2 linked regions of the Caenorhabditis elegans genome follow. The protein of the gene in region 1 interacts with the protein of each later gene in a pairwise test. Each region holds a gene or a part of one and is shown in the gene's direction. Other genes may lie near its edges. The genes, in order: F53E10.6 and lpd-6.

What was found.
Region 2: the proteins of F53E10.6 (region 1) and lpd-6 interact in a two-hybrid assay, tested with the Caenorhabditis elegans proteins (one large-scale study listed by BioGRID).

Annotation. Positions count from the first base shown.
Region 1 is NC_003283.11:2,593,444-2,608,025, reverse strand, and holds F53E10.6 (RRP15-like protein), read left to right. Parts: upstream 1-4,962; 5' UTR 4,963-4,965; coding exon 4,966-5,044; intron 5,045-5,169; coding exon 5,170-5,258; intron 5,259-5,322; coding exon 5,323-5,471; intron 5,472-5,524; coding exon 5,525-5,783; 3' UTR 5,784-5,873; downstream 5,874-14,582. Other genes in the region: F53E10.5 (BZIP domain-containing protein), read left to right, coding at 9,096-9,164, 9,218-9,301, 9,404-9,467, 9,541-9,597, 9,648-9,755, 9,805-9,861, 10,042-10,209, 11,008-11,048 and 3 more; irg-3 (Infection Response Gene), read right to left, coding at 13,014-13,173, 13,791-13,905, 13,949-14,100.
Region 2 is NC_003279.8:3,136,827-3,153,979, reverse strand, and holds lpd-6 (Brix domain-containing protein), read left to right. Parts: upstream 1-6,186; 5' UTR 6,187-6,195; coding exon 6,196-6,610; intron 6,611-6,666; coding exon 6,667-6,848; intron 6,849-7,633; coding exon 7,634-7,710; intron 7,711-7,761; coding exon 7,762-7,887; intron 7,888-8,484; coding exon 8,485-8,946; intron 8,947-8,999; coding exon 9,000-9,459; 3' UTR 9,460-9,569; downstream 9,570-17,153. Other genes in the region: K09H9.1 (uncharacterized protein), read right to left, coding at 651-695; K09H9.7 (C2H2-type domain-containing protein), read left to right, coding at 2,001-2,073, 2,209-2,340, 2,814-2,898, 2,947-3,108, 3,157-3,202; dscc-1 (Sister chromatid cohesion protein DCC1), read right to left, coding at 3,676-4,179, 5,007-5,342, 5,417-5,686, 5,742-5,963; K09H9.5 (T20D4.11-like domain-containing protein), read left to right, coding at 10,812-11,006, 11,715-11,828, 11,879-11,938, 12,095-12,247; K09H9.8 (uncharacterized protein), read left to right, coding at 13,413-13,535, 13,956-14,132, 14,382-14,618, 15,318-15,383; col-49 (Cuticle collagen 49), read right to left, coding at 15,569-16,161, 16,513-16,771.

The DNA of each region.
Region 1 (14,582 bases):
AAATTTAAAGCTTCTGAAAGTCTCTTTCTGAAAATTAAAATTTTTTGGAAAATTTGGAAAAAATTGGAACAACCGAAACAAATTTTTGAAAATTGGGATTTTTTGGAAATTTCGAAAAAGATGAAATTGGTCTGGAAACCACTAAAAATTATAGTACATTTTGGAAATTAAAAAAAAAAACTAAAATTCCGGAAATGTCAAAAACTGGTCAAAGCTTCAAAAATCTTCGAACAATTTTTTTGAAAAGTCTGGGAATTTTGGAAAGTAACAGAAACTTTAGGATGTTTTTGGAAAATTCAATAAAAAAGTCTGGAAAGAACGGGAACCTATACAAAAGTACAGAAAACGTTCAAAAAAATTCAAAAAAAAAATTGAAAAATTGTGGAAGTTTTTGAGAAACCCCAAAGAACGTTGGAAACTTTTGGAAAATTTGGAAAAATTCTGGAAGCTTCTGGAAATTCTCACTTTTGAAAATTAAAAAAAAGTTCTAGAGCATCATTTTACAAAACCCAAAAAATTATTCTAGAATTGCACCTAGCTGCCAGTAAATTCATACAAGTCCTCTTACACTTCTCTTTTTCCAAAAAAAAAAAAACGAAAAGGATTTAGTCGGGGTGGGTAACTGGCATCTAATCGAGAATGCAGTAAATCTAAGCGTGCGAAAATGGCCGAAAATTCTTTTGTCTGAAAGGCTTGAGAAGGAAGCTTTCGAATTTTGAATGGGAGCTATCATGGACGGGGGTGGTGGTGGTAGATCAGATGACCCTTTTTTGAATTTTTAGTCAATTTTTTTTTTGGGAAGGAAAATTATTTTTTGGATATGATCATACTATGGAAAATGCAATGACCAAAAAATGGGTGACAAAAAAATTTAATTGCAGGGGTTTTTCCAATTTTTCATTTAAAGTACTCCGACAAAATTCTGCCAGGAACAGCTACAAACTACAAACTACCAAAAGATACTTTTTTCCCAATTTTCTGAGTTTTCGAAAATTCCTGTTTCACCTAATTGTTTCAAAATTATATTTCTGTTTTTGGAAAACAATTGTTAGCAATAGAAACAAAAAAAGCAAAGGTTGAGACTACAAAGTACATACTACAAACTATAAACTACAAACAACATACTACAAACTACAAACTACAAACTACAAACTAGAAACTAGAAACTAGAAACTAGAAACAACAAACTAATTGTAAGCATAACGAACTAAAAATTATACTGAACATTATAAACTTGTGAACATGTACATTATAAACCACTAAATGGAAAGTACAAACTTCAAACTACAAATAACACACTACAAACTACAAAGAACTAGTTTTTTCCCATTTTTTCCTGACTTTAAAAAAGTTACATTTTCAGATTTTAATTTTTTTAAAATTACATTTTTAGAAAAATACTGAAAAATAGAAACAAAAACATTGCCGATACTTGCTTCAAACTATAAAGTACAAATAACGATCTACAAACTACATACTACAAACTAAAAACTACAAAACATTCCAAACTATGATAGTATTGAAGGTAAGTAAAGGAACTAACTGAAAACAATTTTAAAACAATCCCGAAATAAGCTCCGCCCATATCTTGGCACTTTATAGTTCTTGAAACACATTTTCTTGCACTTTTTTTTGAAAAATGCTCTTCTTCAAATTAATAAAATATTTTTACACCGTAGTACTCAAAAAAACGTCATGATGGAGTAAAAAATAAACGCTCTTCAGATGTTCTGCCCCGAAAAAAAATTATTCGCGCACATTGTTCTTCGATACCTTCGCCTTGTTTTATGCTCTTTCTCAAGAGCTCTCATCAATTTTTTTTTCTGAATGACTGGATTGTTTTGTTTTTCGGTTGTGAGCGTAGTATGGAAAAATACTCGTAGATTTGCAGTCGTAGGCCTTCTCAGGAAACTGTGCCTGCCTACCTACAGCCCCAATAATTTGTTGAAGGTTAATTGAGCTATTAAGCAGCCGACAAAATACGAGGCCCAACTGATTGGCCAACTGCGCCAATGCGCGGCAAACGTGCTCTATCGCAATTCGCAGCCCGGGAGACTGTGTGTGTGTGTGTGGGGCTAATTTTTCGAACTCTCAACTTTCTGTTCCCGCTGACGTCATCTATTTTTGCGTCGTCTCAAACCACTGTTCTCGAGTTTTCTCACGGCTTTCTAGGACAAGTACACTCATGAGTTTCCTGGGAAATGAACTAAAAAATATGTTTTCGAGTCTCAAATCCAAAGTTCCGTGTCATTTCCGAGTCCGGGATCTTATTTTGGCGAATTTTTTCAAGATATCAAAATTGTTTCAAAAAATCTGCTCCCAAAGATTAAATTCCAAGGATTTTGCAGAAAAAGCACTAGACAAGGATGAAAAAAAAGCGAGAATGGGATATATGTGAAAGCATCATCACAAAAGATCGCCCCGCGCCACTATGAGAACGGAAATTGTGTTTTTAGAGTAAAAAGGAAGAGGAAAAGGAGGATCAAGACGAAAAGTCATCAGATGATGACGTGGAATTGGGTGCAACGTATGGGTTGGATTTTGCTATGCGGCCGTGGAAGAGAGATAACTAGGCCATTGTAAACTTAAGTTATATAACTTAATGTAAGTTAGATAAAAATTGGTGGTCACAAATTAAATCCATTTTTAATTAAGCTAACGAGAATGTCAAAATTTTCTTCCCGCCACAGATTATTTCTCTATAAAATTGAAACTCTCGCCCAAAAGGTTTCCTCAGAAAATTTGAATTTTACGCCAAAAAAGTTTACCAGAAAATTTAAAATTCTCGTCAACATTTTTTTCAAAAATTTGAATTTTGTGGCAAAACTGTTTTCTCAGAAAATTTGAATTTCCCACCCCATTTTTTCAGCGATTTCCAAAAAAAAACCTACAAAAATCTCTAATTCTAATATTTTACGGAAAATTGTGTTCTATGAGGGTGGCCGAATTTTTTATTTTTCTCGGTCACGTGGGAAATGCCAAAAGAGCTCATATGGTGCATCAAAAACAAATTTGAAAAAAAAAAAGAATTTAAGAATCTGAAACTTGGAAAATCGAATTTTCCAGTTTCACTGGAATTTTCAGTTTCCGGATCGTTTTTTTTCTTCAGAATTCAATTTTTTCAAAATTTACCCCGAACAAAGAAAAACAAAACATTTTGTGGTTAAACCGACATGAGTAAACATTTCGACAAAATCCCCAGTAGAAAAATCTAGAAGCGGGTGTCTGAAAAGGCTGCAAAAAGAATAGAGCGCTGAAACTTTTTCAAATGTGTCATTTTTATTGGTCGAATTAGCGGAGGCTCTGAAAATAAGAAGTTTTGTTTTCAAAAAGCGGGGCCTGATGCCAAGAATTGGAAATTTTACAACGTGGCCTAGAAAAAAAACTCGGCCAGCAATTTTTTTCCCGCTAGCCCACTTGATATCACGGATGTCAGGCTTCCCTCATAAATTGAAATGGAAGAGTTTTTCGAACTAGGCCATTTTGTCTCGGCCATATCTGGGGAAGATTTACGACGCGTTGCGTGTCGCGTCGCGGTTCGGTTTTAGTTGTAAAACTAAATGTATTTGTCCGTGTGGAGTACACGAGTTTCCCACGCGTTGTCCGGCGGGCGATTGTCAATGGAGCGCGAAAAATTCAATGAGGAGGGCCAGAACCCGTGTGATATTTGACCATTTTTCGGACTTAAAAAAACATTTTTAGCGTTCAAATAGGCCTTCTTTTTTATTCGAAAACTGTTTAAAAACAAGCGTTTTAGACGAAAAAACATTTATTTTCCGAAAAAATTAGTGTATGCGCCTTTAAATTCGGGTTACTGTAGACGAGAAACTTTTAGTTATAGGTTATTTTTCTATTTCTTTTTTATGATTTATGCTTAACATTGTTTAATTTTGTGTTTTAAACAAGTTTTAAACTTTTTTAGCAATATTACTACGGTCAACTTAAAGGAACATACGACTATTTCTTTATTTTTCGAAAAGCGCGGCGAGACCCATCCATTGCGATTTAATCGTTTTCTCATGTTTTTTTCGGTCTCAATCACCTCAAAACATATCCAAAAAAAAAGAAGAAGAAATAAAAGTTTATGGAACGAAGCAGCAAAAAAAAATAAAACGACGGGGCGACCGCGACATCCCTAAACAGGGTTAACGAAGCGATAAGTGACTTTTGAGAACAATGCTTGTTTTTTGTTCTTCTTCCTTTAGCTTTTTTTGTCTTACCCCGTTGCACCAAGTTCCGGGGGCACCAAAAATTGACGAAAAAACACATTTTTTAAAAATTCCAGGTTGCAAACGCGCCCCATTGAGAAAACCAGTTCAAACTTGGGAAGGAGGGTTAATATAACAATGAAACCACGAAAATATGATAGAAAATGAAAAATATTTATTGCAAAATATTTATTTTCGATTTCCTTCCTTTTTTTCCGAAACCGGAAACACTAGCGGCAAGTAATATCAAATGACAAAATCAAATGTTGTGGGTGGTTTGGATGGAAATTCAAAAGGAAATTCTTTGCTCTTTTGAACAAGAATACGATGTAAAAGATGTAAAAAAAAATCTTCAAGTCAAGAAAAATGAAGAAAAAAGCAAAAAAAAATTGAAAAAGGCAGCACTTCACCCCCTCCCAACTTGTCAAACGAGCATTTTCTCATTTTGCTCTTCGAGTGGGCGGAGTATAGACGTTTAACTTTTTAAATAAACGTTCAAAAAGCAATTTAACATCCATTCCCGTGTTTTAGCTGATGTTTTTATGTGCTTTTTGAGCTCCGTTCGATTTTCCCAATTTGAATGCCCGCGCATTTCGCATGGCCGTGGACGAGGAAGTGCGGGGGCCGAAGCGGACAATTTTCTCGGTCAAATTCATTTTTCGAAGGTTTTTAATCAATTTCCGCGATTTTTCAGGCTATTTTCTCATGAATTTCCTTAGAATTTTTATATTTTTAAATTCCTCGAATTTTTTAGACCATGTCGACAAAAAACCGCGATCGATTAGTCGTCACAGAAGACTCGGACGACGATAATGAGAGGGAAGAGATGTCATCAGGTATTTTATCGATTTTTCCTCGCTTTAAACACTTATTTTTGAACTGAATTCGTGTATTTTGAGTTTAAAAATAAATAAAAAAAACGTTAATCTGAGCAATTTGAAAGAAAAATCAATAATTTCAGGCGGAGAAAGCGGAGAAGAAGGCCCTTCCTCTGTAGATGGTGGAGCCGGCGACGCCGACGAGACAGTTGCCTTCCCAGCCATTGAGAGGGTGAGAAAACGAAAAAAAAACCCCCGGTTTTTCGTCAAATTAAATTAAAAATTGCGATTTTCAGAGAAAGAAGAAGGTGATCAAGAAGCTGACAAAGAAGGAGCAAAGTCTGAAGAAGAGTGTCAAGGAATACCGGATTAAGTTGGCTCTGGTCAAGCCGGATATCACCACCGACCGGGAGAAGGAACGAAATTTGAGAAGAGTCGCTACAAAGTAGGAAATTGATATTTTTTCGCGGTCAAAAGTCAATTTTCCCATTTTTGCAGAGGAGTCGTCCAGCTCTTCAACGCCGTCTCCGATCGTCAGAAGACAATGTCCGACGCGGTGAAGGAGAAGATGACGGCTCGCGAGAGACGAGAAGCTCGTCAACGATTCGACGGCAAGAACTTTGATTCGGACAGATTCGCGGATTCGGGATATGTTGGGGCGAAGAAAGAAGTGAAGGGAGAGGATGACGACGGAGAGGATCAGATGGATATTGGAGAGGAACAAATCGATACCGGGAATTATAGCGATGAGGATTAACTTTTTTTAAATTTTTTTGTTATCAAATTTTCTTTTTTTTTGTTTTGTTCTGTTCTGTTGTTGTTTTATTCATTAAAAACCCTTCATTTTATCCATTTTATTCATTTTTGCAACAAAAAAAAATTATCTTGGCGCCGGGCAGGTCACCAATCCAGCATTCACGCAGGCTGGATTCACTGCCTTCGATCCGGCGACATCCACGTTACAAATGTAGACACCGGCGTTCCAGTCACAGCAGTTGCGGTAGACGGCCGCCTGGCAGTTGAAGTCCTTTTGTTGGGCACTGGAAATTTTGGTGCGAATTTTAGGAAAGAAATTTGCAGGAATTCGAAATCGGCCTTATTTTTTGTAGGCTTTTCGTATTTTTGGCGAAAAATACACAGAAGAGCGAAAGTTTTGATTTTTTTTCTAGAAAAATAGACAGAAAAACTAACATATTCGCTTTTTTCACTCCATTTTTGTCGAAAAAAAAAATTATAATTTCACAGGATTTCGACGTGTCTCCTTAAAGGCATACATATTTATTCGATTGGGTCTCGACGCGCTAAAAAGTTTATGACGGCTAACTCGACTAATTGGTACAAAATTCGGCTAACGGATAATTCGGCTAATATTAACCGAGTTAGCCGAATCAGCCGATCGGCTAATTCGGCTAATTCGGCTATTATCCGCACACCCCTGTTCTAGAGGCGAGGTATCAAAAAGCCTTCAACTACAACCATGTTAAGTTCGAAGCAATAAACGTTTTCATAGTTGTAGGCATCTTTTCATCTTTGTCCAGAACTGAGATATTGTTGAGCACAGATCTAGCATATTTTGGTTGTCTTGGAGCTCACATCTCCGCAGCCACTAAAGATAACTAGAAAGTACCCACTAACAAAATGTTTTTCATATTGTTGCCAACAACTTTTCAACTGTCTACATTTTATTAATTCAAACACCAACAGAGTTATAAGTCTTAGAAAGTAAGACGTCTATATGCTCAGTCAACTCTAATTTGGTTAATTGTTTAGCTAAAAATGCAATATGAATGCCCAAACTTGTAAGAACTACCAAAATTGTGTTTTCTATAAAGTTAAACACTTTTTGAAAAAATTCCAAAACAATTTTTTTTTCAATTTTTTTCAAACATAAGAGAGGAAATTTTAGAGCTGAAGATTCAGATCATAAAGGAGGATCCTTGTGATCCTTTGGAGCTGAAGATTCAGTTCATAAGGGGGGACCCTTATGATGTTTTGGAGTCTTATCAGTGTTTTTAGAATTTGAAAAAAACCGGAACTTTTTTGAGATTTTATTTTTTAAAAATTAAAAAAAAATTGTTTGTTAAAAATTGTCTTTAAAAATTAGCAAATACAGTGTGAAACTATCACTTTCCGTATAAAAATATTTGGAAGAAAGAAAAAACTAAATTTGAATGCGCGCGCAGAAGATGTTCAACAGAGCGCGTTTGCTTTTCGAGCCTTTCGCGCGCATTAATTTGAAGTCTGTGACGCAAACACCGCGACGCACTTTTGCATGCACAATCTTGAAAAAGTTGGCGGCAATGTAGAAAAAATGCGCTGTGGAGACGCAGTCGATAAAGTAATAATTTCGACATTTAAACCTAAGCAGCCTTTGCAATATAAAAAATAAGTGTATGCGATTTTTTGGCTCGTTTTTTTCATAATTTTTAGAATTTTTAATTTAGAATATAAAAAATTTTTAAGCCCATTCCTAGTATTTTCACATTTGTTGCAAAAAAGATCCTCTGAATTTCTGATTACTCGGATTTCATCTGATATGTGTGTGGCATTACAAAACATCTGTTCACTTTGAGCAAACTGCTCCTTGAAACAAGACAGATTTTGAAACATTTTAATTAAATTTCCAAAAATGGAAACAGTGTCGACCAAAAATATATGTGTGTTCAGTCTTCCTAGGATAGCCTTCCTCATTTTGTTTATTTTTGTATGAAATTTGAGACAACATCAAATAGCACAAAATACAGTTACCGTATTTCCTATATTAGACTTGCCGCGGAAATACAGTTATTTTATGAGTAGTTTTCATAAATAGCGAAAAATAAAAATTAATGATACTTATTTCAAACTTCAAAAAATTAAAATAATCGATGAATTTTTCTTCTTTTTTTTTGATTTTTGAAAAAAGTGCTTGAAAAATGTTATATTCCGATATTTATGAAAACCACTCATAAAAGTGACTGTATTTTGTGCTATTTGATGTTGTCTTTGAGATAAAAAGAAGCAAAATGAGGCAAGTTATACAAGGAAGACTGAAAACGCATATACTTTCGGCCGACACTGTACGTAAAATACATACAGGGTGGGCCAAAAGTATGGTAACACATGAAGCGCTCTTTTACATGAGCTTTTTGCGCGACTGCCACGTCATACGTACATTCTTTTATCGAATACTGATAGCTGAATAAATTTCCTTCAATTTGACTCAAAATTTGTAATGTTTCCCAATAAGGTGCGATCTTTATCACCTCGACAATTTGGCGAACCCTTTCGAAAAAACGGTAATTTGGCACGCGGCACTTCCCACACAAATACACCTCCTACGCACGCCAATAATTTTCAGATGTATGATTTTTATGTTAAATTTAAAGTTAAAGAAGTGAAGAAGCGTTTTTAATTGTTTTTGTAGCATATAAAAATTTTCTGTGTCGACACTGGCGCCTAGCAAGAACCTTTGAATATTTCATGAATTCAACTTTGCGAAATTTACTCAGTTTTTTTGGTTTCGCAAGGCGTAACGACCCACAAAATCATCCGAGCTCAATTTTTTTTAAAATTCTGGAAAGTCAGGTCAAAACGTCTCGAAAAATACTAAAATGAATTTTTCTGCATACTGCTACTCGCCGCTCACATCCATCTTTCTGGCGACTACGCCATTCAAGACTTAACCTACTGCCGCAGTCCATGACAGAAATACCGTGATAGAAATTATTTGGATTTTTGTTTTTAAAGAATCTCTAGACCAAGCGCATTCTTTGAACTATAAAAACTTGTAAGACACTTGATGGATTCCTCGAGAAAAATGTAGAAATCCCGCAGAATGCCGACTTGCGTGCCATAAAGGTCGTGATCTCAAAAGTTCTGAAGGCCTGCAGCGATGCGGATGGGAATATTTTGAAAATTCAAAACGTTCATCTGGTCAGTATTTTATAGAGAACAAAACTTGTACAAATTGATGTAATAACTCTCTCCACTAGTAAAGTTATAGAGCTGCAAACGTGTTACCATACGTTTGGCCCACCCTGTACATATGGATAAAATCAAGAACAATTATATTCCAGTGCACTTCAATATGGACAACAACTCTAATGTCGAATTTTTGACTGAAGAATTGGAAGACTTAGAGATTAAGACCAATTGGGTTGGTATCATTTTCCATTCCTGAATAAGACAGGAAACAATATAATGTTTTAGATCAATGAATGGTATCAACATATTGCGGTAGTTAAGACAAACAACGAACGCGATGCTGACGAGACGTTGAACTACGAAATGAAGGTATTGTGGTTTTTGAATACTTCAAAATAACTAACATTGAGAAAATTGATAATATTTTCCTACAACTACAACGAATAACAATTCAATTGTATATATTTTGAGGATCCTCACGATCACAATGTTGATAACAATGACAACCCGGAAATCAGGCAACCAACTGAAATCGGTAGGTCATTCTTTATTTAGATTTGTAAAAACTTTAGGCCGCTTCGATCTTGTTCCATTTTGAATTTTTCTAGATCCACGTCCGCCTTCATATACTGTAAATGAAAACCACCCGGATCCAATGTATCAACGTGAGTTACCTGAAACTATTGCCACTTTTGAAAGTGTAGTCTTCATTTAGAGCCAGAAACATCCCGAGGGAATTGGAATGAACAATTGGATGATTTATTTTTAGCGGAATATAGGGAACAAACTCATCTGTCTCAGCACCGCCTACCTGACATTGCAGGTTTGTTGAGGGGAACCTCCGATTTAAAATAAAAAAAGAGCTGATTCAGACTATTTTCCATCAAGTCGCGAACCAAATTCAACAGGAAATGGGCACTATAATGATGGTAAGTCAATTGTCATGAATTGAAAAAAACATAATATACAGTAGTGGCCACAAGTAAATGAAGTTTAAAACAAATGTTTAAAGTTTTTAACTTTGGTGACGATGGTTTTACTGGGGATTCCATATGGGCGCCGGTCAGGCGCCTTCGCGAGTTTATGCGTCATTTTTTCTTCTATTTCAGATGGAAATGCAAGACAATCTACACCTCAATTTAATCAAGCTGAAATTGCGCCGATTTCCGTTCCTTTGTATCACGCCCACAATAGCCAAATTGGACATTTTGAAATGACGCTGCCGGTTTTTCAGGAACATCAAGTAATGATTCATTGTCAAGCTAACCAACCTTTCAGTGAGTCGAATTCCAATTTTCACAGGCACAAAAAAACAAAAATAAAAATTATGGAATTCCGGAAATGTTTTGATAGATTTGGATTCTAGATTTTTTAAAAATATTATTGGTACGTTTGTGAGCCAGGAAAGTAAATTTAAGCCGCGCTAAAGAGGTTTTTGTGTCGAATTCCAATTTTCACAGGTATATACAGGCACAAAAAACAAAAATAAAAATTATTAGAGTTGAACTCATTCTGTGAAAAGTAAAAAAAAAACATAATTAACTTAAAGGTGGAGTAGCGCCAGTGGGGATTTTGTCTAAATGCACTTACATATAACGACCCAAAACAACCGAATATCATAATAAAATACTCCAAAAATTTTAGTTTTTTTTATAATTTCCGGTCAAAGTTTTTGGCAAATTGCCACAATTTTGAAAAATACGAGCTCTTGAGGAAGTTTAAAGAAATGCCGCATGTTTCGACCCCTACAATGTAAATAATTTGAACTAAATTAAAACATAAAAAATGTAGAAATTTTTTTTTTGGTCGACTTCCAGTGGCAAAAACTGAGTAATTGCCACTTTTTGACAGTAAATAAAAAAAATTCCAACATTTTTTTGAAAAGTTTTGTTACTGTATTCAGTTATTTTGGAACCAACGGAGTGGTTTTTAACAATTTCCCCACTGGCGCTACTCCACCTTTAAAATTTCAAATCTGCCAACCCACTCTCCGAACCCTGTGTACAGAAGAACTACGAAGAACAACATTCCGAATATTGGCAGAATAAAGAAGAATGTTGCTCAAAAGTTTTCAGAACCGAGACACAGAATTAAGAAAACCGAATTGCTGATGTTGGTAAGTATTTCAATCTGGAATTTTTTTGGTATTGCCAAAAATTCAAACATCAGACCGAACAAGAAAAGAAGGATCGAATTAAAAAACAAAACCAAAGGAACACTGCCAATTACGAATTAAAGAAGAAAACGGCACTTGAGAAATCGCGTTATGAACTTCCAAGGCTTCAATCACGACTTGATGAAGTCAAACGTCGAACACGAGAAATAGAAAATCAAGTTTCGGATGTTTACCGCATTATATCTCAAAGTTATAATACGAGTTATTTATACGGGAGTTTTGAGGACTTTATTGGAACACTCCAACAAGAAAAAGCTAGGCGAATAAATGAAATCACGGAGGAAAACAAGGAGAATATTGAACATCTACAAAAAGTAAGATTTTTTTTGATAGAAACTAGTTTCTATGTTTTTTTTATTTGGTTATATATTCGTTTCTATTTCAGATGTCTACAACCGCTGAGAAACTATTGAATGATTTGAAAAATAATAAAGCACCAAATGATGAAAAAGGAAAAATGACGATAAAAGGAACAAAGGGATCAAGAAAAACTCGCGCGAAGCAAAGTGCTGAGTCGAAGACATTAGCATACAAGATAAGACTAGGAGAAGTCGAAATCGAAAAGTTTCAAGCAATATCGGAAACATTGGAGCAGATTGCAAAGAATGTCGCTCAGTTCGTATTGGAAAATGGCATTCCAGCTAATTATTTCTATGAGAGACCATTGCACACTGTAAGGTTCTAACCTTCCTTACATCTCTCGCCCTTACCCAAACCCCCCAGTGATAGAATAGGAGTAGTGTAGACAGGAATAAACTCTTTTGATTTGCAGGAAGATCGGTCAGATGTCAGTCACGCATTGGATCCTACTTGTTCCTTGTTACCAGCCCGTCGGCACATCTTCGGATCCAACCGTGCACAAGAGCAGAACGCTATCGCAGCGTCAATTCCGCAATAATCGAGTTATTCCGCTCCTCTCCATTTATTTCATGCCCACAAGTCTCCCCACTACAGTAGCCCTGTGTGTGTGTGTGCGCGCGCGCCGCGGGTCACACACTTGTTTACGTCTTCTGGATCTTTCTGTGGCGGCGTCGGCGACTCCGCCTTCCCACCGCAGAGGGGTATATAAGGCGGCATTTCTATCACTCGAGATCTTCTTTTACTTTCCTGTATCCCCCTTCTACCTGTCCCTCCTGTTATTCTTTCTTCTGTCACCCACTCTGTTGGGGTTTTAATTAATATAATAAATGTATTCTTTAGCACATAAGTGTTCTGTTGTAGTATGGGATGCAACAACTCATTTATCATCATGATAATTCGGAGGAACACGCTTAAAACCTTTCCTACACACAGTTCGAACCACCATAACTGAATTTTTTACAAGATGAGCACTTTCCAAATGGTTTTTCAAAATTCAATACCACGCATATGTACATATGTATATATTATGCATATATCATTATTATTGCTATTTGTTTATTTAAAATAATCTCTATCGTGAGAATAAAGTATAAATGAAACCTTATCATAAGATCACATAGGAAAAACATTAGTTCACACAAGAGCGTAAGAATATATACAGTTGTCGAAATAATTACCATATGGGGGCAAATAGCTCACAATCAGTCGGTAGTGGTGGCCGCGAGCAATCTGGAGGTCACGAGTTCAAGTCCGGCCTCAGCCTATAGGTCTCTATTGGGAGATAAAGCAATCCACGACTGGCTTATCGGCCACAGTCTCCGGCTAGAACGTGACTCGGTGGGATCACCACCAGGCAGTGTTTGAGCCAAGAAAGAAGTGAAGGGAGAGGATGATGACGTTGATCAGATGGATATTGGAGAGGAACTAATCGATACTGGAAATTATAGCGACGAGGATTAATTTTTTGTTTTTTGTTGTTGTTGTTTTATTCATTAAATTTCATTTATTTTATTCATTTTTGCAACAAAAAAAAAATTCAAAAAATTATCTTGGCGCTGGGCAGGTCACCAATCCAGCATTCACACACGCTGGATTCACTGCCTTCGACCCGGCGACATCCACGTTACAAATGTAGACACCGGCGTTCCAGTCACAGCAGTTGCGGTAGACGGCCGCCTGACAGTTGAAGTCCTTTTGTTGGGCACTGGAAATTTTGGTGCGAATTTTAGGAAAAAATTGCAAAAATTCGAAATCGGCCTTATTTTTTGTAGATTTTTCGCGAACATATTTCGTATTTTTGGCAAAAAATACACGGAAAAACGAAACTGTTTTCGTTTTTTTAGTTTTTTTGGAGAAAAAACACAGAAAAACGAAAGTTCTCGCTTTCTCAAAAAAAAAACGACAATATTATAATTTGACAAGATTTCGACATTCCTTCAAAAAAATATCAAGTTGTTTTTGAATTTTTGCGGGGAACTTGTTTTATATGAAATTGTATGGAAAACTGATTTTAATCAATTTAAACAGAGAAATATCAGAGAAAAACTACTATAAACTTTTGCGTGTCGAGACCCATCTAAATTAATACGTGCTCCTTTAAGGAGGCAGTGTGGAATCTTGCGAAATTACAATATTTTTCACTTTTTTTCGAAAAAAGGGGGAAAAAGTTGCTAAACGATTTAGCTAACTGAAAAAAAAACTTTTAAAAATTTAAATTTTACCGGGTTTCGAAAAAAATTTCATTTTTACAAAAAAGATAATTTTTTTGCTTTTTTCTCAGACGGAAAGTTTTTTTTTAAATAGCTCTGTTTTCCCACTCACGCGCAAGGATCCATTCCATTCTTCATGTCGATTGCCGCCTGAGCATCACATTGATCGATATTCGGCTGATAACGATCACGGCAGAAAGCCATACAGTAGAACTCGGTCATGGTCACTGAAAAAAATTTCAGAGAAAATGTTTCTCCAAAAATCATTACAATTATATCCGACTCCACACTGGTACTCTGTCACGGCCAAGTCGATCCAGTAGTCGGTGGCCTCGGTGGTGTTGGCGGCGTTCATTTGCATGTAGGCGTTTGGTCCCATGCAGGAGTACGGAGCCAAACAGTTGCTCAACGCGTTCCCGAGTCTGGAAATTTTCGAATTTTATTTTAAAATCTGGAAAAAAAGCTGCAACGTAGCGCACAAAAGTTCGGTGGCCGCAGAGTGGGAAAGCTCGGCCACGGTTTGAAAATTAAGACAGTGTATTTCGAAACCGGCAAAAATAATTGAAAATGTTTGAATTTCCTAACGAGACCTAACCTTTAGGGGCGGATCTTTTTTAATTGGCATTGGAGCGCAATTACACCTGTGGCTAGGAAATAATGGACTAATGGGTTGAAAATTGTCCTTATTTTTTGTCGTGGAAGAGAAGATAAGAACGAAAATAGAAAACTAGGACAGACTGTTTTTTTGTCGATTTATGACATTTTTAAACAGTCAAGTTGTGAAATTTTGCGCCATGGTCTTGACACGACAATTTTTGTTAATTGCTAAAAGGTGTGCGCCTTTAAAGAGTACTGTAGTTTAGAGGTGGGCGGCAAACGATTTTTCCGGCAAATCGGCAAACCG
Region 2 (17,153 bases), on another chromosome or scaffold:
GTTGCTCATGAGCATGAGTGAGTTTTTCGAGATTGTACTGGAAACAACAAAAAAAAGCTTTAAACGGTGGATAGCAAAGAAATCGAATAGAAGTTCATAAACTGATTGATCAAACTCGTAGCGTTTTAACAAGACCAAAATCATCATTTGAAGATGCCTATATAGTATGTATATGAATTTTTCAATTCGTAAAAATTCAAAATTAGTGGTTTTTCAGTAAAAAGTCAAAAGATCGGGTTGTTAGCTGGTAAATCTCGGAATTTCTCAGAAGCAAATAGTTAAATAGATTTTACATAGTCTATAGTCTATGAACCTTTCACCTTGCACCTGGGCAACACTGATTACTGTGCCATATTCAAGTCTAGATCTTATAAAAGTTTTATATATCAATGTCATTAGCTTTACGTTTTTTTTAGAACTTAAAAACTAAAATATTACATAATATCCGGCATTGTTTCAACACTTAATCTGGCGCCGCCAAATCTTGGTTCGTTTTCGAGTCCTAGTAAAAATGTATCTTTCATTTAAGCGACATATGTTTGGCATATTACCGATATATAAAAAACCAAGAGCAGCTTTTGGCTTTCCTGATTTTGGTAGCGGTAAGACTATAGACTCTGACCGTGTTTTTGGAATTTCATCGCTTATACCTCCGCATTCATGCTGGCCTGTTTCTGAGCTTCTTCTCTCAACATGAGCTTATCCTTTTCAATTTTTCCCTTCTCCTTGAGTAATGCAGATTGAGTCTTCTCGAAGCTTGCTTTCTCCTCTTCCAGCGAAGAATCGACAATTGAAAGTTCTTTTAGCAATTTGCTGAGGTTTTTCTCTTTTTCAGCGATTTTTTGGATTGTTGCATCGTATGGAAGAGTGATTGAATCGTTCGTGTGATGATGTGAAGGTTGAGAGTTAGAAGAGATCTCTTCGAAGATGGAATTCACTGAAAAATCGACAATTTAATATTAAAATTCTCAAAAATTAGCTCTACATTGGAGAATAAATTATTTTTCGAATTTCTTCCATTTTCTGATAATTTGCAGCTCTAATATTTGCGTTTAGCACGTTTTTATCACTTTATCACATGATGCCAAACTTCTATCCTCCGAGAGGCCAATCTCTACAAAAAATAGAAAATTATTTCTTTCCATGTAAAAATACAAACATTTATTGACTAAAGACAGTAAACTACGTAGAAAATCAACGGAAAACGCCAAAATTCTAAATTTTTCGCGAAAATAAGAGGCACCACGCTTTCAAGATTTGGTCGCTTTCCGGATCTACGATTTCCAGATCTCACAGTCTCCTCGGCATCGAAAGCGCAGTATACGCAGCTTACTGTCGCATTTCGCGTTTGCTAGTGTATTTTTTGAAGATTTTTCCGAATTGCAGAAATTGTGCGGCAAATACTCTTGAATTCAAAAATTCTTTCAGATGAAGACGGTGTTCGCGAGGGTAGGTGATATCATTGCCCGACATCTCGCGAGTTCCGCGGCTGACAATGTTTACCGCGCGTTGAGGGCGGAGCTCTTTCCCACGTGTCTCACAATTTCTGAAATTTGGAGACAAAGGCTCAGCCAATTCGGAAGATAAATGCTCCGTAAACATTTCGAATTACGCCGAGGAGACTGCAGATCTTTGTTTTCTAAATCTGACACCATGTCAACCGCAGTTTTCGCAAACGGTGCAAAAAAAAAGAAAAGAAAACGTTGATCTGGAAACGGTAGATCCGGAAATCGTAGATCCGGAAAGCGATCAGATCTTATAACCGTGGTGCCTCGAAGAAAAAATTAAAGGCGCACGGAAAATGAGAGGCGGGTCTCGAAGCGATAAATGGGGGTACTGTAGAACTGCAAAAATTTCCACAACTCATCAACTCAGATTTTAGTTTTGAACAGATTGGTGTTTTTCTGAACTTTTTTCTCTTCCTAAATAAATTAAATTTTGCAAAAATTTAGAAACTCATAAAATATATTTATCTTGTTTCAGGAAACCAGCGATTCCCAATGAATTCGACTGCAGATTCTGGAACTTTCGTCGCAAAATTTAATGCATGGATCGACTTCATCGGCTCCAAAAGTAAGTAATTTCGAGACAGCTGCAGCTTCTACTTAAATTGAAAATGGAATTCTGAATGTAATATTCAACTTTTGAACGAATTCTGTGTGAATCCTAACTTCTGCAGTAAGCGTTTTTTATATAAAAATTTTTCAGAGGCGTTCTTCACCAATTTGAAAATTCTCGCTGAGAATGGAATTCATGAATCAGTGATTCGAGCACTCGTTCTGCACAATGCAAAGCTACCAATCCCAAAATGTGTTGCAACAGAGAGTTCAGTTGAAATTTGTAAGGATTCCCACCCTTTTCACTTCACATTTTACATAAATAAATACTAATTTATTTGCCTGTAAATTCTCTCTGATAATTTACAGAAAGAACGGACGAAATCGGTCGAGGACAACGATTTCTACAGCGAAGGCAATCCACGAGGAGGAGAAACTCCAGTTCAAACCGCCGCCAAGCTACAGAAGGTCGCATTGTCACGCCGAGACCCGTCGTCGTTAAATGCTGCGCCTTTAACCCCAGAATGCCTATATAAGGAGAGGACGACGCTCATTTGTGATCATTTCTTAACTCTTTAACCCGTTACTTGTCGTTTTCCCTTTTCTCTCGTTTACTGTGTATCGACGATGCAATTCGTCTGTTCCCTTTTACTTAATAAACCCTTATAAGATCGATCAGTGTGCGTGAGTGGCAGTTACATCCTATACCTTTATTAATTGATATATTAAGGTGTATATATGTTAGTTGAATTTCAGATAATTCTGCAACAATTTCTGGTATTTTCTCTGCGTTCTCTGTGAGATGCTGCAAGTGCTCCGATAATGTGACAATTCCAAATCTGTAAGACGTTTGCATCCAAAACATAACGAGCAATTATTGATTTTTCAGGTACAAACATATGAAACAACACGTCGAGAAGACGAGATACTCCTGTTCCACGTGCAGTGGAAGATTCGAAACAGAAGAAGCAGGCCTCCATCATCTCCTGATTCACCGCAGACGAAGAAACGTCAAGCTCTTCGACGAGTGGGATGGAGAAGCCGAAAAAAGGTATTATTCAGTTTCTCCTTCTCACCATTCTAACAAAACCATTTCCAGGATCGATCAGCTTCTCATGCGATCTGTCGCGAGAAAGCGAGACTGAAACGCAGAAGTTTGGTGTCAAAAACTTGTGGTTGCTCTCTTATGATAATTATCTCCCCCACCTATGCCCAAATCTCTATCATTTTTTCCTCCAACTGATATTTTTTCCCTCATTTTTTGAGCCAAGTAACATTCATTGTTTATTGTTTTTAACATTTTCTAGGCCGGTCTAAGCCGTTTCCACAAATACTCTTCAATTTCTATTTGCCAATTTCTCCCCAACCAGCTGCATTCTTGTCCAATATGCACAATTTTTCTTTTTTATTTTCATCGTCCCTCTCCCATCATTTTTCTCTTTCCCTCGTCACGCACTTATCTCTGTCACTATGAGATTCTTATCTTCTTTTTCCATCTTGAATGTTCACTTTCAGCTCTTTGAGAATAATCTTAAAAGTTCTTGTGGCCTGAAAAATAGTTGAATAAACTTGGTATCAGGTACTTGAAAGCATTTATTTACAAAATATGAAAGAAAAATTATCGCACGCCACAATAGAGCATCTCATTTGATTCAGAAAGCGCATAATCACAATTCTGAACAACATACTTATCAAAAGCAACTTTCGATTTGTAAACATCCTTGAAATATGGACGAAGTTGCTCCATAGACCAGAGTTTTCGATATTCAAAAAGATATAACATTCTTTCTTTAATAGTATCAGGAAGATCTTCCGGTGATAGGTATGAGATCACTTTTCCGAATGGAGCATCAGAAATATCGGCGACACCTTCCAGCTGGGCAATGTTCATAGTGACTCCATATGGTAGAATCTTGTGCAGGAGTTCACGAAACTGTTGGAGAGGCATTTTTTGGGTTCCATAGAGAATGACGACGGTTAGGTCGCGGATCAGGTTGATCTCAGGCAGGCGGTAGGTGAAAGGATCCTCAGGATTCTGTTCGCATCGGGAGTTGAGGAACCAGTCAATTACCTCGTCGGGGACGTTTTCTGGAAGATTGGAGCGCAGAGAGGCTCGGGAAATCTGAAAATCGAAGAATTTCAGATTTTTAAGTTATTACGTAGAAAAATCTAGAAAAATCGCCATATCTTACGCGCAAGATATCCCGCGGGGAAGAGACGAAATTACTGTATTCTTGTCGATTTACGGGCCGCGAATCATTATTCGAATTTAATTTTTTTTTAACTTCGACCAGCAATTTTCATTTTCAGTCGTTTTGCGTATTTTTAATGGATTCTTCAATAAATAATTTATTTTTGAGAAATTTTGAAATTCAATTTTTCTCAGAAATGTGAGTCTTTATTAAATTTTTTAAATTTTTTTTTGAAAAAACTCTGAAAAACTGAAATTTTCGTGTTTTTTTTTGGGGTTTTTAATGTTTTTTTTTTTTTGGAAACACAGAGAAAAAACTCCGAAAAACTGAATTTTCGTGTTTTTCCGGATTTTTTTTCGATTTCTGTTTGAAAAAAACAACAGAAAAATTGAAAAATTCAGTTTTTTTTCCGGAAAATACCGAAAAAAATCTGAAATTTCTGGAGTTTCTGGGTCTTTTATTCTATTTTTTTAACAGCAAAACCTCGGAAAAACTGAAATTCTCGGTTTTTACGATTTTTGTTGGGAAAAAACAACGGAAAATTGAAAAATTCAGTTTTTTTTCCGGAAAATACTGAAAAAATCTAAAAATAAAAATACGAAAAACATCTGAAAATGAAAAATTGCTGGTCGAAATTCAAAAAAAAAGATTAATTTCGAATAATGATGCAAGCGCGGCTCGTAAATCGACACGGATACAGTAATTTCGTCTCTTCCCGGCGGGATATCTTGCGCGTAAGATATGGCGATTATTCTACCTTCTCCAGCTTCACATCACCGATTGAATCTTCATCGAGAAGCTCCACAATTAATCCGAGCATTTCTCCACGATATTTATGAGATAAATATCGATATCTTCCGCTTGAAAACTTTACAACCGGCAAATCATTGAGTGCAATTTTCACTTCTTCAACACTCATTTGAACACTATTCAGCAGGTCTCGAAGCTTATAACCCTTTAGATTCTCCTCTTCCTCACGATCCTTCCAGTCCCAACGTAGCTCCTGCTCGCGGAGCATATCCTTAAGCCGTCCGATGCTCAAAACATCCACTTGGGGACACAGCTCGCCTGTTGAGAAGCATTTTCCACCGATCTGAATTTAATTAAATTTTTAAAAAATTTTGAATTTCGAATAAACTAAAATAAATAAAAATAAAAACAACTGACAGTTTTCACCTGAAAATTCGGAAGCGTCGGTGAATCTGGAGCTTCCAGGCATTTATGAAGAAGAAGAACCGTTGTGGCGGATTCGATAATTTTCATGGGAAATGTGGCGTTGTCTGTGCACAGAACCGCGTCGTCAGTTGAATCTCCGCGAATTGTGAGGCTTTGACCTTCACTAAAGGCTCCGATGACTGATTCATCCACTGAGAGAAGCATAAATTCTGAGGAAGGATCGGAGTAATCCGGCGAAAATTCCATTTTTGTCATGGTCTTCTGAAAATTTTCATTTTTTTCCCCAAAAAAAAACTAATGCTCCAAGAAAGCTTACATTCATCGCCTGATCAAATGGCCTATTTTTCGATAAAATATCAAATGTGAATTGAGCATCCTTCTCTCGTATTGCGTGCTGCAGCTTTTCCATTACAGAGGGCTCCTCGAGCGTTTTTTGAGGTTCAGGCGCAACGATATTTTCCTCATTTCCACTTGCCGGAGCTGGAGCAACACGTTTAGTAGGTTGAGTAGGCTTGGATCTTGTGACGAAGCGATTCATTATCTGGAAACAGATCTGTACAGAAACTGAGAAAATCGATTTAAAGTTTAATTTGAAATTGGCGGAAATCGCGGTAAAAAACTTGTCGTCAGCTATGGCGCATTGGACGCAAACACTTTGACGGCAAACTGCACACTTCGTATTTTTTTTTTTTCGCAATTTTTTTCGTTCCATTTTCTAACCTAAATACACTTAATTTAACAATAATCTTTATAAATTTCAGTTCGAAAAAATGAAAATGAAGAAAGGAAAGAAGCAGAGAAAGTCTGGAGCTCATAATCGCGGAAATGTAGATGCTCTAAGTCAAAAAGATGCCCTTTATCATCAGGAAAAATTCGTGAAGAAGCTACAGAAGCAAAAGTTTTTGGAAAATAAAGAAATTGAACTAGCAAGACAGCCTCATTGCTTGGTTATTCATCGCGGAGACGTCGGAAAGTACGTGAAGGGCCTGGAGTCGGATTTGAGAAATCTCGTCGAGCCGAATACAGCGAAAAACTTGAAAATTCTCAAAAGAAACAATATCAAGGATTTTATCGTGAACGGTGCGGTACTTGGAGTCACCAATATGATGGTTCTCACTTCCAGTGATGCTTCCTTGCAGCTGAGAATGATGCGTTTCTCCCAAGGACCGACGTTATCGTTTAAAGGTTGCCAATTATCGATTTTAAATAAAATTCAGTAATTTAATTATTTTAATTTCCAGTTAAACAATACTCCCTGGCTCGCCACGTTGTTAATTGTCAAAAGCGACCAGTTGCCACTGATAAACTGTTCAAATCCTCGCCGCTCGTTGTGATGAACGGATTTGGCGACGGAACGCAGAAGCATCTCTCATTGGTTCAGACTTTTATTCAGAATATGTTCCCTTCCATTAATGTCGATACGGTAAAATTTTTAAAGATGGACTACGATCAGGGGGAAAATTGCTTTAAAACACGCCTATGTGGTCACAATGACCGAATATCATTATAAAAAATTCAAAAAAATGTTCTAGAGTTTATATGATTTTTTGAAAATTGGAAAAATCACAGTTTTCACCTAATTATTTTTGAATTTCCGCCAATTGAATTTGTTCGGTGGAGCGCGCTTGCATTATTTTTTTTTAATTAGTTTTATTTATTCTCGTTATTTGACTGATTTTCTTCATTTTCTATGTTTTTTCCTCGGAAAATGGAAGAAATAAACAAGAAAAATGCAAAATGTTTGTTTAAAAGTAACTGAAAAAGCATAAAACTGTAAAATTATGAGTTCCGACGACAACAAGCCTGAAATTAGTATATTTCAGTTTTACTCATTTTCAATTAGTTTTTAACAAACATTTTGCATTTGTCTTGTTTATTTCTTCCATTTTCCGAGAAAAAACATAGAAAATGAAGAAAATCAGTCAAATAACGAGAATAAATAAAATTAATTTTAAAAAATAATGCAAGCGCGCTCCACCGAACAAATTCAATTGGCGAAAATTCAAAAATAATTAGGTGAAAACTGTGATTTTTCCAATTTTCAAAAAATCTTATAAAATCTAGAAAAATTTTTTGAAATTTTTTATCATGATATTCGGTCATTGTGGCCCCATAGGCGTGTTTTAAAGCAATTTTCCCCCTGATCGTAGTCCACCTTTAAATCGATTTTTTTGTCAAGTTTCAGAAAAATTATACAAAAAATTTCAGATTCAACTTGGAAACCTGAAACGCTGCCTGATCGTCAGTTATGACGAAGAAACTGACGAAATTCAAATGAGGCATTTGTAAGTGCTATGAATTTCTCTAAAATATAATTATATAAATTTTTTTTTCAGCGCAATTCGAGTCGTCGCCTCAGGCCTCAACAAGTCTGTGAAAAAGCTTATGCAAGCGGAAAAGACGATGGGAAAGAATATTCCGAATTTGAGTACCTACAAAGACATCAGTGACTACTTTTTGAAGTGAGAATTGTTCAGAAATTCTACAAACTGAGCCTGAAATTCAGTGATTTATCTGAAAAAAACGTTCATATCAGTTTTAAAAATAGGAAAACCCCTCAAAACTGGTCAGAAAACTGGAAAATTTTCGGGAAAAAACTATACTCAGACGATTTTTGAGCATTTTTTTTTTCAATTTTTCCAACTGAAATAAACGTGATGCCTCTCAAAATTTATGGTTTTTCTGAAGAATTTGAATTTTTTCTCTCTGAAAATTCAATAATTCTTCAAAAATCATCCTTTTCCAGCCCCGGACAGTTCAGAATTCGAACGAAATTGAATTTTTCTAATGTTATTAATAAATTTCCATTAAAAAAATTCAAATTTTTCATAAAATGATTAATTTTGGGAGGCATCGCGCGTTTATTTCAGATCGAAAAATTGAAAAAAAACCTCTAAAATGGTCTGAAAATTGGAAATTTCCGGGAAAAAACAATTTTTAGACGATTTTCGAGGACTGTTTTCGAATTTTTCCAATTGAAATAAACGATATTTTCAGATAAATCACAAAATTATTATTAAAAAATATTCAATTTATTTAAATTTCCCTTCTTTTTCCAGCCCCGGACAGCTCAGCGATTCCGAATTCGAAGGAGATCAGCAAGAAGTCGAACTACCACAGGACATTTCAGAAGGACGTGGCTGCGGAGTTGGCCAGAAGAGCAACGTCCGTCTTCACGAGATCGGACCCCGACTGACTCTGGAACTCGTCAAAATTGAAGAAGGAATCGATGAGGGAGAGGTGCTCTATCACAAGCATAATGCGAAGACTCCAGATGAACTGATAAAACTGAGAGCTCATATGGACAAGAAGAAGCAGATGAAGAAGCGTCGTGAGCAGGAAAGTGAGCAACGTGTCATTCGAAGACTTACGATTGTCAAGGAGCAACAGGATGCTGAGGAGGCAGAGGTGAAGGCGATTCGAGAGAATGCTGCTCGTAAGCAAGCTGCCGCTACTGGACAAGTTGAAGAAGTTGAGAATCAGAAGGAGAAGGATAGAGAGATTGCGATGAATCGGGAAAGGTATAGATCCCCGTAATTGAAGACTTTTTAATTGATTTTTTATATTTTTGCAGAGATCTGAAGCGTGCCAACGAGGAATGGGGTACATCTGAAGCCTCGAAGCGTCCAAGATATGAGGATAGTCGTGGGGGATTCCGAGGTGGATTCAGAGGAAGAGGAGAAGATCGTGGAGGCTTCCGCGGACGTGGCGGAGATCGTGGAGGCTTCAGAGGTCGCGATCGTGATGGAGGTGGCTTTAGAGGAAGATCCGTGGATCGTGGTGGCTTCCGTGGAGGTGGTGGCGACCGAGGAGGCTTCAGAGGACGTTCATCAGATCGTGGTGGAGATCGTGGAGGCTTCCGTGGAAGATCGGGAGATCGTGATGGAGGATTTAGAGGTGGATTCGGAGGACGTGGTGGCGGTGGTTTCCGTGGAGGCGATCGAGGAGGATTCAGAGGACGCGGCGGAGGTGGTGGATTCCGTGGTGGGCGAGGTGGAGATCGAGGCGGCGGTTTCCGAGGAGGTCGTCGTTAATTCTGATATCAGTTGTTGTTTTTTGCAATTTGTTGTTTCTCCATTCTCCATTTTTATTTTTTTAAATGTTCGTTATTGTTATCGTTATAATCATGAATTTATCAGACTGTTTTCCTGTTTACCCGCTAATTTAGAATCAGGAATGTCGCTGAAAAAATGTGGGACTTAACAATTTTACCGAGAAAAATCATGTTTGCGCGTAATTTGTGATGCTTTCACAGATTGGGCTCACGGACGCAAACTTGTCACATCAAAGGAGCTAATTGCTTTAAAACTTTAAATTAGCTAGTTTCCTGCTTTATTTCATTGAAAAATCAATAAATTTCACAATTTCAGGCCTGTATGTATCACGGGAACACAAAATTCTGAGAATGCGTACTGCACAACATATCCGACGCTCAAAATATCTCGCAGCGAAAACTACAGTAATTTTTTAAATGGCTACAGTAGTGCTTGTGTCAATTTACGGGAATGAATTTCTTTTCGAATTTTCTCGTATCATTTGCTTAGTTTTAATATTCTATCGATAAATAAATCAATTTAATCCGTTTCGAAAATCGGGTCCGTAAATCGGCACAAGCGCTACTGTATCCATTTAAAGAATTACTGTAGTCTTCGCTACGAGATATTTTGTGCGTCGAATATGTTGTGCAGTACGCATTCTCAGAATTTTGTATTCCTGTAATAGCAAATTGTTGACTTTCTGGCCCGGAAAATGTGTGTGGAAAAGGAAAATGTCACATAAACTCGAGATTTGTGCGTAAAATGTGATGCTTGCAGAGTTCGGCGTCACGTACTCTTTGCATCACATTTGACGCGCAAATTTGTCAAGGGAACAGCAGCCAACTGGTTTAAAACTCAAAATCGGCGATTTTCAAGCTTTATTTCATTGGAAAATCAATAAATTTCACAATTTCAGGCCCCTTAAATTTTGGGGAAAATGTGTAAAATTCACTCTCGAGCCCGTAAATCGACACAAGAGCTACAGTAGTTATTTAAAGAATTACTGTAGTTTTCGCTACGAGATATGTTGCTAAAAACTATATAAAATTTGGGAAAAAGGAATTTTGTTTAAAAAAAATCGCGCAAATTTTAAAGTGGTACTTGGGCTCGGTGGCAGAGATCCAGGATATCAGTTGTTTTTGCAATTTGCTGTTCCTCTATGTTCTTCAATTTCATAATAATGTTCGTTATTGTTATCATGACATTATCAGAGACTGTTTACCCGCCAATTCAAAAATCAGTAGTCCCGACGCCGCCATGTCGGCTGCTGACCTGCCGATCAAGGTCATTCAAATTGATGCACGACGAGAATAAAAAACACTTCTCCCCCCATTTTTCCCCCATTCAACATGAAGATTCTGACCGTCTTCCTCCTTGTGGCAATTTCTGCAAATTGTGCCACTCCGTGTGATCATCAGGATGCTGTCAAATCAATGGAATGTAAACCGTTACTGGGGCAGTTGGCTGGTGAAATGGCTAAACACGCGGATATACCACCGCCAGACGAGCTCAAAGAGTTCTCGTTGTTGTGTGAACAGACCCTTGTGGGTGTAAAACGAACTTGCGCGTCAAGTTTGACGAATATAAATTGCTCAAAATTTGCGCGTGAAATACGGTGCTGTTAGTAGATTTTTCAAAAAGCAAGTGAAATCAGGCGTATTTCGTCGATGCACCATGTCTGAAATTTGCATACTTTTTCAAATTTGCGCGTAAAATATGGTGCTTTGCATACTTTTCATTATGTAAAATATTCTTATCACAAATGTTTTGAAATGCGCGTGAAATCAAATGTATTGCTTCGATGCACCACGTCTGAAATCTGCGTTTTTTTCCTAATTTTGCGTACTTTATCAAGTTTGCGCGAAAAATACGGTGCTTTGCGTATTTTTGTTCCCGAATTCGTAGTTTTTGAAATGGATTAAAAACCGTAAATCGACACAAGCGCTACAGTAGTCATTTAAAAAGGATTACTGTAGTTTTCGCTACGGGATATTTGGCGCGTCAAATATGTTACGTACTACGCATTTTCAGAATTTTGTATTCCCAATATAAAAATTCACCAAAAGTTTGATATAGTTAACCATTCCTTACTGAGAAAAACTAGTTTTGCGCGTAAATTCTGGTGTTTGCACCGTTCCGCCTTACCGACGCTGTGCACCACATTTGACGCGCAAATGTATTAGTTTAACATGTTCCAACTAGTTTTAGCCTCAAAATCAGCAAATTTCGAGCTTTATTCTACATTGTTTCAGGCTTGTATGGAGCAAGTAAAATGCGATTTGCTCAAAAATGCAACTGGTCTGATCGCCAAAACATGCACCGGAATCAAATTGATGTCTGGTCCATTTGGACAATGTATTGATGACGTATGGTACTTTTTTCAAGAAAAAGAAAAATTAAAAATACATTATTCCAGCTCCGCAGCACTCCACCATCGCTGAAAAAGTATCCATGCGGGCGATTCTTGAAAACGGAGGTGAGTGTGCAGATATGGTACATTGCACCATTTTACGCGCAAATTTAAATTAATTAATTTGAAAAGTTACGCTTAAAATGTGGTGCATTGTGTGCGCATAAAAGAAGCACCATACTTTACGCGCAAAAAAGGAAATATTCCTGTAATTTTTTGCAGAAAGGGCGCCCGGGAAATTGTCAAATGTATCAGGATGAGCTCGAATGCACAAAACATTTGACATCTGATAGGTGTGGAAAAGAAGCTGTTGATTCGATGAATAAACATATGGGATATATTCTTGGAATGATGGAATGTCCTGTTTCTGTATGAAAAATCGATAAATGAACATTTATTTTATTTATATTTGTTTTTTGTTGGGTCTCGGCACGTGCATTTGTGCGTCAAGTCAGGCAAAAATGTGCAAAGTTGAGATATTATGGAAAAAAAATCTGAGAATGCGTATTGCACAGCATATTTGACGCGCAAAGTATCTCATAGCGAAAACTACAGTAACTCTTTGAATGACTACTGTAGGTCGATTTACGGGCTCGATTTTCGGAACGGATTAAAATAAATTATTTATCGATTATCGATTGAATATTAAAATTTAACAAAAAATGAAAAAAAATAATACGGGGAACGAAGAAAAATTGAAATGTCATTACGAAAATCGAGTTCCCGTAAATCGACACAAGCTCTACAGTAGTCATTTAAAAAATTACTGTAGTTTTCGCTACGAGATATTTTGCGCAGTACGCAGTCTCAGGGTTTCGTGTTCCCGTAATAACTATATAAAATCTAGGGAAAAAGGGATTTTTTGAAGAATAATAAAATTTATTTCTTTAAGAAACAAATCTCACGTAAACTGTGATGCTTGCACAGTTTGGCTTTACGGATGCCTTGCATCACAATTGACGCGCAAATTTTAATTTATTAGTGAACACGTGGTGTCAGAGATTTCGGCTTGATTTACGTAGATCTACAAAAAATGCGGGAGAAAAGACGCAGAGTTTTCAACTGATTTCGTATGTTTAAGAATGTGCTGACGTGACTTTTTTGTGCAAAAAATTCCCGCATTTTTTGTAGATCAAACCGTAAGAAGACAACTTGGCACCACGTGAGTGAACAGATGTCATCTAGGTTGAAATTGGAATAATGTTACAAAATTAACCAAAAAACAAATCAATAGTTAACGAATTTTTTAAAAATTAAAATTGTTTCACAAGCATTTATTTTAATTTTTTAGTTTTTTTACATTTCAAGAAAACCACACCGTCTTTCTATCTGCAAACCCCTAACAAAGAATGAATCAAAAAACAGTTTCTCTGTTGTACTAAATACCACACCCAACACACATGATTTGATAGAATTCTCTCTCTCTCTCTTGTCTGCACACTCTTCAAATCGCACACTCTCTGATTTTCTCTAGAAATTCACGCCGTTGAAGTTATGAAGAAAGGTATTCTCTAAAAAAAGAAAAAAAATCAGATTCACGATGGTTCTTTTCTTTGATAAAGTTCCTATTAAAGAGTATTTCACGAAACTTTTCAATTTTTATGTCGATTTTCAAGCTGAGAATCCAAAATATCGATGTGTTTTTGGAAAGTGCCATGTTGTGGTGAGTTTTTATTTTTTCCAGAAATTTTTGCGCGTAAAATATGGTGCATTGCATAATTTTTATTATGTAAAATTTTCCTATCACAAAATTTTGAAATGCGCGTGGAATCAAGTGTATTGCTTTGATGCACCATGTCTGAAATTTGTGTACTTTTTCAAATTTGCGCGTAAAAAATGGTCCCTTGCGTGTTTTCACGAATTAGTAGATTTTTCAAAAAGCAAGTGAAATCAGTCAAGTTTCATTGTTGCACCATGCCTGAAATTCGCGATTTTTCCTATTTCTGCGTACTTTTCAAATTTGCGCGTAAAATAGGGTGCTTTGCGTATTTAATTTAAAATTAGTTCGTTTCTCCAAAATGCGCGCTGCAGATTTGCAAAGCAGTGCATCGCCTCCTGTCGAGGGACTCCCAATTTTTTCCAGAATGCTTCCAAAGTGCTTCTTCTCCTGGAAATATTTCTTGTAATCCCCATCTACATGCTTTTCCTGTTCCCATGGTGGCTCATGTGGATTGGTTTCCATCTCGTTCTCATTTTAGTCACAATATATGCTCTCCGTAAAAAGAAGCATCGATTCATGTGGCCAATGGTGTTGTTTACGGTGAGTTTGCTGGAAAGCTCACAATTTTTTTCTTTTTTTTTTAAATTTTCCTCTTAAAATTTTCTCGAAAAATTTGACTCTCCCTGTAAATTTGTTCTCAGAAAATTTGAATTTCTCATTGAAATTTTTCTTAGAATTCGAATTTCCTGCTGAAAAATTTTCTCACAGTCAGAAAATTTGGCCAAAATACCAAAGATCAGACTACACAAACGAAAAACGCGCACACACTTATACTAAATTCTATTTCAGCTCTCTCAATTTCTTATCTGGGGATTATTAACCGTTATTCAACTCTTGATCGCCTTTTTCGACACCCAATCATTCCTGAACTTCTACTCTCAAGGACATCATGAAGAGTTCTTCGAAAAAGCATTGGTGGTGATAGTTGTGAAATTGTTAGTCTTCGCGATCGGAGCTTTTCTGTTTTGGCGATTTTCAGTCTACTACGCAACCAAAAACTATTACTCTGATCGATTGGAGGGACAGGTGAGCCTTACGTCTACAGTAATCCTCCTACAGTAACCCTAGGGTGAAGTCACTATTTATTTCCAAGTCCATCCTACAACACTCCTACGGTTTACGCTGAGACCTGTTACTGTACTTTTTGGTTTGTATATTTGTATCCATAACCTTCACCTCTTCAGTATGGTAAAAAACGCCTGGCTACAGTAACCTGAGCTCCTAGACTGTCTTACAGTACCCTACCATTTCAAATCCCTAGCCAGTACATCTAGTATACAATTCCTTACAGTAGTCCTATACTACACCCTGAACTTTTATTATACCTGCAATCTGTTACAGTACTCCAACACCCGTATGACCACAGTCACCCACCTGAATTGTTTTTTCTACGGTATTTTTATCCTAATTTGCAGGTACAGTTCTGTAACCACAGTATATCCTTCCTACCGTAGTCCTTCAGTACCCGCTCCCTTCACTGAATAATTCCTTGTCCTCGCTACAGTTTACAAACAACCGTATGTCCACAGAAACCTGCACTCGTCCTCCTACAGTAGCTATATCCTAGATTGAGACTACAGTATTCGTACCACAGTACACCTCCCTTACAGTAGTCCTATCGTACACCCTCCACTCAAAGTTCCTCCTTTAGAGTACAGTAGTCCGTAGCTTCCTTCTCCAGTAGTTTTATTCTATCTACAGAACCCCTTTACTTCAAAATTTCAGGTATCCGCAACCGAGGAGAGCAAGGGTCTTGAAGGAGTCGCTCAGAAGCTTTTGCAGCCAGTTTAGATAACATCTTTTTAAAAGTTTTTCTAGATTCAAAGAAGAATAAACGTTTTACTAGCATGTAATTACAGTGGGAATAGACGCCACTCTAACTATTCTAGCTCTGGCAAATCGGATTTTCAGATTTCACAAATGCTGATTTTCAAACATTTCCAAGAAGAATAAATACTTTATTTACACTTTTCGAATCAAGCAGTTCTAGGTGGGCAAGTACAGTAACCCGCGTCTTCTCCTTCCTTTCCACGTGTCCCTGGTACTCCTGCAACTCCGTCCTTTCCACGTTTTCCTGGTCTTCCGTTCTCCGCCTTTCTTCCAGGTGCTCCAAGAGCTCCATCTTTTCCATCAACTCCTGGCTCTCCTTGTGCTCCAGGCTCTCCAAGTGGACCCTGTGGTCCTGGTCTTCCAGCCAATCCGACAATTGCGATAGTTCCTGGTTGTCCGGCTTGACCTCTTGGTCCAGCTCTTCCGGCGGATCCTGGTGGTCCTTGATCTCCAATTTCTCCAACTGGACCAGTTTCTCCTTGATCTCCAAGTGCTCCACGTGGCCCGGACGGTCCCTTGTCACCACGTGGTCCGAGTGGTCCAGGTGGTCCTGGTGGTCCTGGTGGTCCTGCTGGACACTTGATGCATTCTTTAGGATTTGGCATATCATGAATCACGACGTCTCCATCCACACCGTTGTCACCATCAACTCCATCGGGTCCCGGTTGTCCTGGATTTCCGAGAGATCCCTTCTCTCCTGGTGGTCCTGCTGGGCAGTTCTTTGTTGGCTCAGCGCAATCTGGAAAATTTGAACTAGGAGCTTAATTGGCGAGAAAAAGATGGCCTAAGCCTAAGAACAAGCTAGCAGAAGCCTAAGCCGAAGCCTAAGCATAAGCCTAAGCCTAAGCCTAAGCCTAAGCCTAACCTAAGCCTAAGTATAAGCTTGAGCCTATGCCGAGGCCTAAACATAAGCCTAAGCCTAAGCCTAAACCTAAGACTAAGCCTAAGCCTGAACCTAAGACTAAGCCTAAGCCTATGCCTAAGCCTAAGAACAAGCTAGCAGAAGCCTAAGCTTAAGCCTAAGCCTAATCATAAGCCTTTCTAGACTTTCCAACGAATAATAGTTTCTTTTCAGAAAAAAGTTACTCACTGCACTGATCATTTCCGACGTTTCTCTTTCCTCTCACAAATTCCTTCAAAATATTCGTCTTCTTTGGAACATTTCTCGACGTCATATCGTTCAACCGTTGCCACGTGTCATCGCTGACCTCCTTCCAGTCTTCCAACTCATCACGAATGCTCAAACGAAATGAATCGAGCTCATCGAGCATCGAAACCGAGAAATAAATAGTGCAGACGCTTACGAAAAACGCTGCGGTCGAGACACTTCCAATTACGAATTTCCACATGATGATGAGGAAGAATGAGATTTTCGGAAGATATTCATCTCATTTTTATACTCACTATTAGAACTGCAGAAAAACGTTGTTCGTTGCGTTGTTCTCTTTGATGAACTGGATACAACAAGCGGCGGAGGAAATGTTCGGTGAAAAAAGTTCCCAAGACACGCCCGAATCGTGATAGCCATAATCACTGTATCTCTGACGAAACCGTAGCACATTTTTAATAGACCAGTTTAGAATCTGTACTGAAAGCCAAAACGAATTTTTGTCGTAGCTGCTCAAAACTAGTCTCATTCGATAGGCAATGTTATTTCCTGTAGCTCATTGAACAATTTTGCAAATTGAGGTGGAAAAACACTCAATTGTACTAAATAAAGAATTCTCTATC